Oryctolagus cuniculus: one gene and its partner. The protein of the gene in region 1 purifies or fractionates together with the protein of each later gene. This does not show direct contact. Links are inferred from orthologs where the notes say so. Each region holds a gene or a part of one and is shown in the gene's direction. Other genes may lie near its edges.

The links. The genes of interacting proteins can lie anywhere in the genome.
Region 2: the proteins of ASF1B (region 1) and TLK1 purify together in Homo sapiens (co-immunoprecipitation; 3 studies listed by BioGRID and IntAct, counting the BioPlex papers as one, with this or other methods). This does not show direct contact. The link is inferred for Oryctolagus cuniculus from reciprocal best matches to the Homo sapiens genes ASF1B and TLK1.

The regions. Positions count from the first base shown.
Region 1 is NC_091447.1:62,994,584-62,998,332, reverse strand, and holds the start of ASF1B (histone chaperone ASF1B), read left to right. Parts: upstream 1-1,373; 5' UTR 1,374-1,486; coding exon 1,487-1,595; intron 1,596-3,749. UniProt on the Homo sapiens protein: Histone chaperone that facilitates histone deposition and histone exchange and removal during nucleosome assembly and disassembly. Cooperates with chromatin assembly factor 1 (CAF-1) to promote replication-dependent chromatin assembly.
Region 2 is NC_091434.1:70,090,790-70,094,438, forward strand, and holds part of TLK1 (serine/threonine-protein kinase tousled-like 1), read left to right. Parts: intron 1-478; coding exon 479-571; intron 572-2,217; coding exon 2,218-2,328; intron 2,329-2,431; coding exon 2,432-2,568; intron 2,569-3,649. UniProt on the Homo sapiens protein: Rapidly and transiently inhibited by phosphorylation following the generation of DNA double-stranded breaks during S-phase. This is cell cycle checkpoint and ATM-pathway dependent and appears to regulate processes involved in chromatin assembly.

The DNA.
Region 1 (3,749 bases):
GCTGGTTCACTCCCCAAATGGCTGCAACGCCTGGAAGTTGGGAGCTGGGAGCTTCCTCTGGGTCTCCCACGCGGGTGCAGGGGCCCAAGCACCTGGGCCATCTTCTCCTGCTTTCCCAGGCCACAGCAGGGAGCTGGATGGGAAGTGGGGCAGCCGGGACTCGAACCGGCGCCCATATAGGATGCCAGTGTTTCAGGTGGCGGCTTTACCCACTGCGCCACAGCGCCGGCCCCAGAGGGAGCACAAGGCCCTGCAGCAGGAGGGAGCCCGGGGGTGGGCAGGGGCAGGGCGGGGAGGGTGACAGGCGCGAGACGGGGCCTCGGGGCCCACTGCAGAGATCTCGGTTCCCCGCTAAGCAGGATACGCCTCTGGGGCTTGGCGCTGGGATCTGGGGTTCAGCGACAATCACGCAGCCAGCTCCTCTTCCTCCCAGCATCGGAGACGGAGTCCCCGGTACGGCCTTCCCCGGGGTCGGGAACGGACGGCGCAAAAAAAAAAAAAAAAAAAAAAAATTCACCAAGGTGAGAATAAATAAATGTTTAGTTAAACGCCTAGAAAACATCGTGCTAAGAACTCTGCTCGGGGTGGAATTCGGATGCACCATAACACATTTGGAAATACGATCGCCTAGGCCCTGGCCCCGCAGCCGTCCGGTCCCTGACTGGGCGGGAGCGGGACCCGAACCGCCACTCCCCAGGCCGGGACTCCGCGTCCGCTCACCGCAGACCCCCCAGGCCGCGCACGGCCTCAGCAGCCGGAGCCCCCGGCCCGAAACGCCCACCTGCACACACGCACCGGCATCCCCGCCGCGCCTCCTCCACCGCGCCGGCCCCCGACTTCCGCTCCTCTCCCGCGAATCCTCAGACACGCCTTCCTCTGCTCCCGCCCCCACAGCCACCTCAGCCAATTAGGTCTCCAAAAGCCTGCTTTATCCCCGCCCCACTCCTGCCTGCCAATCACGGCGGCCGCGAGTACCCGCCCTTCCCACGCTCTTAAGCGAGCGCCGCGCGCCACCGCTCGGCCGTTGGCGGTGCTGCTCCCTCAAGGATGCGTCTCTCGGAAAAGCTGCGAGAAGGGGCGGGCCCCGCCTGTGCGGGAACCCTCAGGATTGGCCGAGAGCCGGGCTCTGACTCCGCCCATCCCCGCCCCCGCCATCCGAGTCGGAGACGCTGGGGATTGGTTCCCCGCGGCCACCCCGCGAGAAGCCCACAGCTGGTCCCGCCTCCCTCGCGCGCGTGCGGAGAGGGAGCTCCGCGGATTGGTTTGAGGAGTCCGGGCGCGCGCCAGCGGCGCTCGCGGATTGGCTGACGGGGCGCTCGCGCCGCCGCGGAGCGTTTGCGGTGATTGGCTAGAGGGCGGAGCCGGCGATTTGAAGGCGGCGCGCGGACGCGGTGCGCGTTGCAGTCCGCGGCGAGAGGAGGCGGGAGCGGCCGCCGGTGACGCTGCCCCTCTGCCCGCTCCCCCGACCCCGGCTCCCGGCGACACGATGGCCAAGGTGTCCGTGCTGAACGTGTCGGTGCTGGAGAACCCGAGCCCTTTCCACAGCCCCTTCCGGTTCGAGATCAGCTTCGAGTGCAGTGAGGCCCTGGCGGACGGTGAGGCTGGACCCGTGCGGAGACCCCCACCCCAGCCCTGGGCCGACCCTGACCCCGACCTCCCCGTGGAGAGCCGCCCCGTGGCCAGGCCGAAGCCCCCCGGGGCCCCCTCCCTCCGTCCGCTTAGCCCCCCCCGCTCCCCCATCGCCCCCTCCCAAACCCCAGGACCCCCCTCTCTTGCAATGGCGCTCCTCCCAGGCACCGCTTCCTAATGATAGAGGCGCATCCACCGGCGGAGACCCCCACGCCCCCTGCCTCTTCCCCACCCCTGCCGCCCTCCTCGCCCCCGTGTCCGCCCCAGCCGTGCCCTGCCCAGTGTTTAAATGACCGCGTCCGGGGGTCATTGCGACCCCCGGGGTGGCGGTGGAGGGGCGTCCCGGCTCCCGAGGCTTCCCGGTCCGACCGTGGGCCTGGGTGGGCGGTGGGCGCGCCCCGGACCGGCTTCCCGCGGCTTCCCTATCCCGACGCCGTCCGGTGGGCGGTGGGCGCGCCCGGGGCCCGCGGCGGGGTGGTGGTCGTGGCGCACGGGAGGGCACAGCAGCCACCCGGAGCCCCGGGCCCTGCGCACGCCGGGGTCAGCCGGGGCCAAGGCCTGCGTGCACCCAGCGCTCAGCTCCAGGGCGGAGCCGGGGAGGCCGCTGGGTGGCAGGGGGGTGGCCCGCGGGGCGGCCGCCGCCTGTGGCTGACTGTGGAGTAAGCCGGCTGGAGGCTCTCTGGGACACGCAGGGCGGAAATAAAAGTGTAAGCTGGCGGGGGTTGAGACTCGCTTTAAAGGCCGGCAGGAGAGGCGAGGGGCCCCTCGTCTGAGTTCCCAGGTGACGCGGGTGGGGTGCCGTAGGCCTGCTTTAAAAGCAGGCGCTATCTGAGAAGTGGGTGCCTGCGACGCCCCGGGCCCTGCGGCCCAGGAGCCAAGCCCCCGCCTTGACCCCCTGCGCGTCCCGGGCGGGGGGCGGGGCGTCGCTGGGGCCGTGATGTCTGGGGACAGGAGCCTGGGCAACCCTGGTGTGGGGCGCCTCTGAGTTCCTTCTTCCTCTCCCAGCCCCCAGTCGGGGGCCCCCTGACTCCCAGGGGCCGCACGGAGTACATCAGGGGTGCGTGTGCTTGCGGGGAGCGGGGGAGCCCCTCAGGGAGCTGAAACAGCAGGCGCCCCGCGAGGCCAAGGCCACGGGCAGTACGGCTCGAAGACTGCGGCTCCGGACCGCCTGGTCACCGGATCGCAGCGCCGCTTCGGCTGGAGTCCTGGACGCGCAGCTTCCGACCCAGCTTCCTGCTGCTGCGCGCTGTTGTGCGCCCCTGCCGCCCACGCGGGAGACCCACGGGGAGTTCCAGGCGCCTGGCTGTGGCCTGGCCCACCTCCAGCTGTTGGCATTTGGGGAGTGGACCAGCGGGTAGAAGATCCTGCTCTTTCTGCCCCCCACCCCCCCATCGCCTGCCTTTGTCTCTCTCCTCTGTCACTCCCAGATAAATACAAATGGGAAACAGATTCTTCAACGACAATGATTTCTTGTTTAAATATTTGTTTCATTATTTATTTGAAAAGTAGAGTTACAGAGAGAGAGATAGGTCTTCTGTCCATTGGTTCACTCCCCAGATGGCTGCAACGGCTGGAGCTTCACAGATCCAAAGCCAGGAGCCAGGAGCTCCATCCAGGTCTCCCACTCAGGTGCCGGGGCCCAAGCACTTGGGCCATCTTCCACTGCTTTCCCAGGCCATAGCATAGAGCTGGATCGGAAGTGGAACAGCCGGGACTCGAACTTGCACCCATATGGGATGCCGGCACTGCAGACCCGGGCTTTAACCCACTGTGCCACAGCACCGGCCATCACTTTCTTAACGTGTGTTTAATCATAGCATTGGCTTTGCATTTGTTGTCATACGGAGTAGAGGTGTATCCTGTGCGGGGTTCAGCCTGTAAAATTGGGGATCAGAACAAAATGTAATTGACGTGCCTTTAATCGTGTTCAGAAGTTAGATAGACTGTGTGTATACAGTTATGTCCTGTATTTGGTAGGTATTTTTTTAAGAACTTATTTTATTTGAAAGGCAGAGCTACAGAGAGATCTTCCATCTGCTGGTTCACTCCCCAGATGACCACACGGCCAAGGTTGAGCCAGGCCAAAGCCAGGAGCTCCATCCAGGTCTCCCACGTGGGTG
Region 2 (3,649 bases), on another chromosome or scaffold:
GGGGTCTTTGCACATTTTGATGATTAAAATTAATAATAATTTACTATGTATATGAAATTTTCTAAGAAATTTCCTGATTGAGCCATTCCACATATGTGGAGTGATTTCCAAGCAGAATGCTATATATCACAAATACATACAGTATTTACCTTTCAATTAAAAATTTTTTATAAAAGTTTTAGCAAGTTTAAGAATTAACTGGAGTGATGTATAGCATAAAGCAGTGGATATATTCAATTTTAATGAATATCAGTTTTCTAAATAATAGCTTAAATATTGTAAATTTGTATTTATAGTGAAGTTGTTTTAAGCGCTTATAACTTCACTATAAACTTAAAACTGTACTAAGACATTTTGGGATGTCTTTTGCATCACAACACAAATACACGTATATTTCTTTGTCAGGTAAAACCTAGTTTTATATTTGCATGCAAAGGTATTTATAATGGAGATAATAAAATAACTTTATTTCATCTAGACTGATCTCACAATGCTGAAATTAGCAGCATTAGAAAGTAATAAAAACCAGGACCTGGAAAAGAAGGAAGGTCGTATAGATGATTTGCTCAGGGTAAGTAAGAAGTTGTGGGGCAGGCGTTTGCATGATGATTAAGATGCCCCTTGGAATACCCATATCCTATATCCAAGTGATGGGTTCTAGCCCCGGCTCCACATTCAATTCCAGCTTTCTGCTAATGAGCGCCCTGGGAGTCATCAGGCAATGACTTGAAGTGCTTGGGGCCTTCTACCCATGTGGATCTGGCTCCTGCTTTATGTCTGGCTCAGCTCTGGCTGTTGTAAGCATTTGGGAATGACCCAGAGGTCTCTCTGTGTCTGTCAGCTTTCTCCTTGTCTGTCAATTAAATTAATTAATTAACTTAAAAGAAGTAGAGGAGAAAAGTTGAGAGTAAATTATTTGACAGCAATCTTAAAAATACATAGCATTGTAAAAAAAATTGATAGATAAAAAAATTTAACTTTTTCTGGTAGTATAAGTACATGATTGGAAGTACCAACTTCAAAATGGAAGTATTTCAGCAGTGTGCATATGCAGTGGGTTAAGCTACCACTACTAGCAAATGCCTGCATGCATATTGGGGTGCGGTTAGAGTACTGACTGCTCTACTTGCAATCCAGCTTCCTACTAAAATACCTGGAAGGCAGTGGATAATGGCCCAAGTTCTTGGGTTCTTGCCACACACTTGGGAAACCTGAATGGAGTTCCTGGCTCTTGACTTCAGTCTGGCCCAGACCTGGATAGGCATCTTACGGTGTCATCCACAAGTTTAATGGAGAAAATGTCTTTTTAGTTACAAGAGATATAAAACTCACATTTATTTTTAGTGTTAGACACATTGTATGCCATTTTAGTTCTTTTTAATGAAGTATGAGCTAGGTGGTATTAACACCATTTAGAGGGGCCAGCACCATGGCACAGTAGGTTAATCCTCCGCCTGCAGCGTTGGCATCCTATATGGGCACCGGTTCTAGTCCCAACTGCTCCTCTTCCAATCCAGCTCTCTGCTGTGGCCTGGGAAAGCGGTGCAAGATGGCCCGAGCACTTGGACCCCTGCACCCTCATGGGAGACCAGGAGGAAGCTCCTGGCTCCTGGCTTCGGATAGGCGCAGCTCCGGCTGTTGCAGCCATTTGGGGCGTGAACCAACAGAAGACCTTTCTCTCTGTCTCTCCCTCTCACTGTCTGTAACTCTACCTCTCAAATAAATAAAAAAGAAAAACAAAAAGTAAACACCATTTAGAAATTTAAAAACCAAACTTAGGTCCAGGTTAATTTACTTAACCTAGCCAACCTTGTATACCTTAGCAAGGGTGGGCAACCTTTTTCCTGCCAAGAGCCATTTAGATATTTATAACATCATTTGCGGGCCATACAGAATTATCAGCTTTAAAATTAGCCTGCTGTATAGATGTATTAAATTTCAATACTTGTCTGTAGTTGCCTTGGCCAGGCCAGACCAAATGATTTCGCTGGGCCTTCTCCAGCCCTGTCTTAGAGTGTGGATTATGGTTACAGAGTCCACATACTTTCTGTTATACTGTTAAGTAGCATTATAGCATGGTAAGTAGGCTTTTTTTGTTGTTGTTTAGTATCATACTCAGATGTTTAATCCTATCCCTATTTAATGTATTCAGAATATTAAAGATATTCCTAAGTTTTTCATATATTTAAATTCTAGTGTTTTCTACTTATGTTGTAGGCTAACTGTGATCTCAGACGGCAAATAGATGAACAACAAAAATTACTTGAAAAATACAAAGAACGATTAAATAAGTGTATATCAATGAGCAAGAAACTTCTTATTGAAAAGGTAGGTTAAAAGTTCAGTAAATTTTCTTTCACAGCCACTTATGCCTTGTATGCTTTTAAAATGTAAATGAATAAATCTGAGTTATGATTTTGTCTTTTTTCAGAGTACACAAGAAAAACTGTCAAGCAGAGAGAAGAGTATGCAAGATAGATTACGCCTTGGACACTTTACCACAGTTAGACATGGCGCCTCATTTACTGAACAATGGACAGATGGTTTTGCATTTCAGAATCTTGTGAAGTTAGTCATTCTTATTTTTAAAAATTTTTAGCATATGACTTTTCATTACTTTGAAAGATTATGGATTTAGAATTATGTTCTACATCTCCTTACTGGCATTTGGAATCACAGATTTCTTAGATTTGAAAGGAATAGGAAACAGATATATTACAATTTAGCATTAGCAACCTTCTTGATAAATTAGCATTCACCTAGTTAAATATTGATATTCTGTGTTTACCTGTTCTTTGTTGTTAGTAAGGAAAAGAACTCCTCCCCCCACGACTTTTTTATTTTTAAGGAGTGTTTTAAGTTTGTTTGAAAGACAGATAACATCTGTCCACTGGTTCGCTTCCCAAATGACTGTAACAGCTAGGTCTGAGCCAGGTCAAAGCCAACAGCCAGAAACTCCATCTGCCACATGTGTAGCAGGGACCCAAGCACTTGGGCCGTCATTCACTGCAGTGTTCCCAGGCACATTAGCAAGAAGCTGGATTGGAAGTAGAGCAGCTAGGATTTGAATTGGCACTATGATGTGGGATATTAACTTCCCAAGCAGCAGCTTGACCCACTTCCCTGTAACACCGGCCTCAGAAGTTTTTCCCTTTTGCCTCAAATGCAGTACTTTTAAGTCATGAGCTGAATATGTGGTGTTAGTGTTTCTTTAAAACAAAGGGATCGTTGTTACTATATTCTCTTGAGTTTGATGGTAGCAGGTAAGGATAGGTTGGTTATGTGTAAAAACTTATGTGTAAAGAGCATCTATGCTGTTCCTTTTTGTGCTGGAAAACTTAGAGAAACCCAGAAGGAAAACTAGTGCCAGCATTTGTATCAATTTTTCCAGAGTTGGAAAACCGAGCCAAAGCCTTTGTTTTACGTGATATCACATCAGCTTTGCTGGTGACTGGTTTCTGGGTGTTGCTGCAGGCTGATCTCCCTGAGCAGACTGATTCAGCACCGCTGATCAGGTGTTAGGCATGCCGCGTGAAGGGCAGCACCCTTGTGATGCTAGTGAGCCTGAGTTTTAATTCTCTGGAGAATAGGAGCAGTTAAAGGTTTATATGTAGTGTGTGTGACTTGAATTGAGCTGTAGACTGATAAT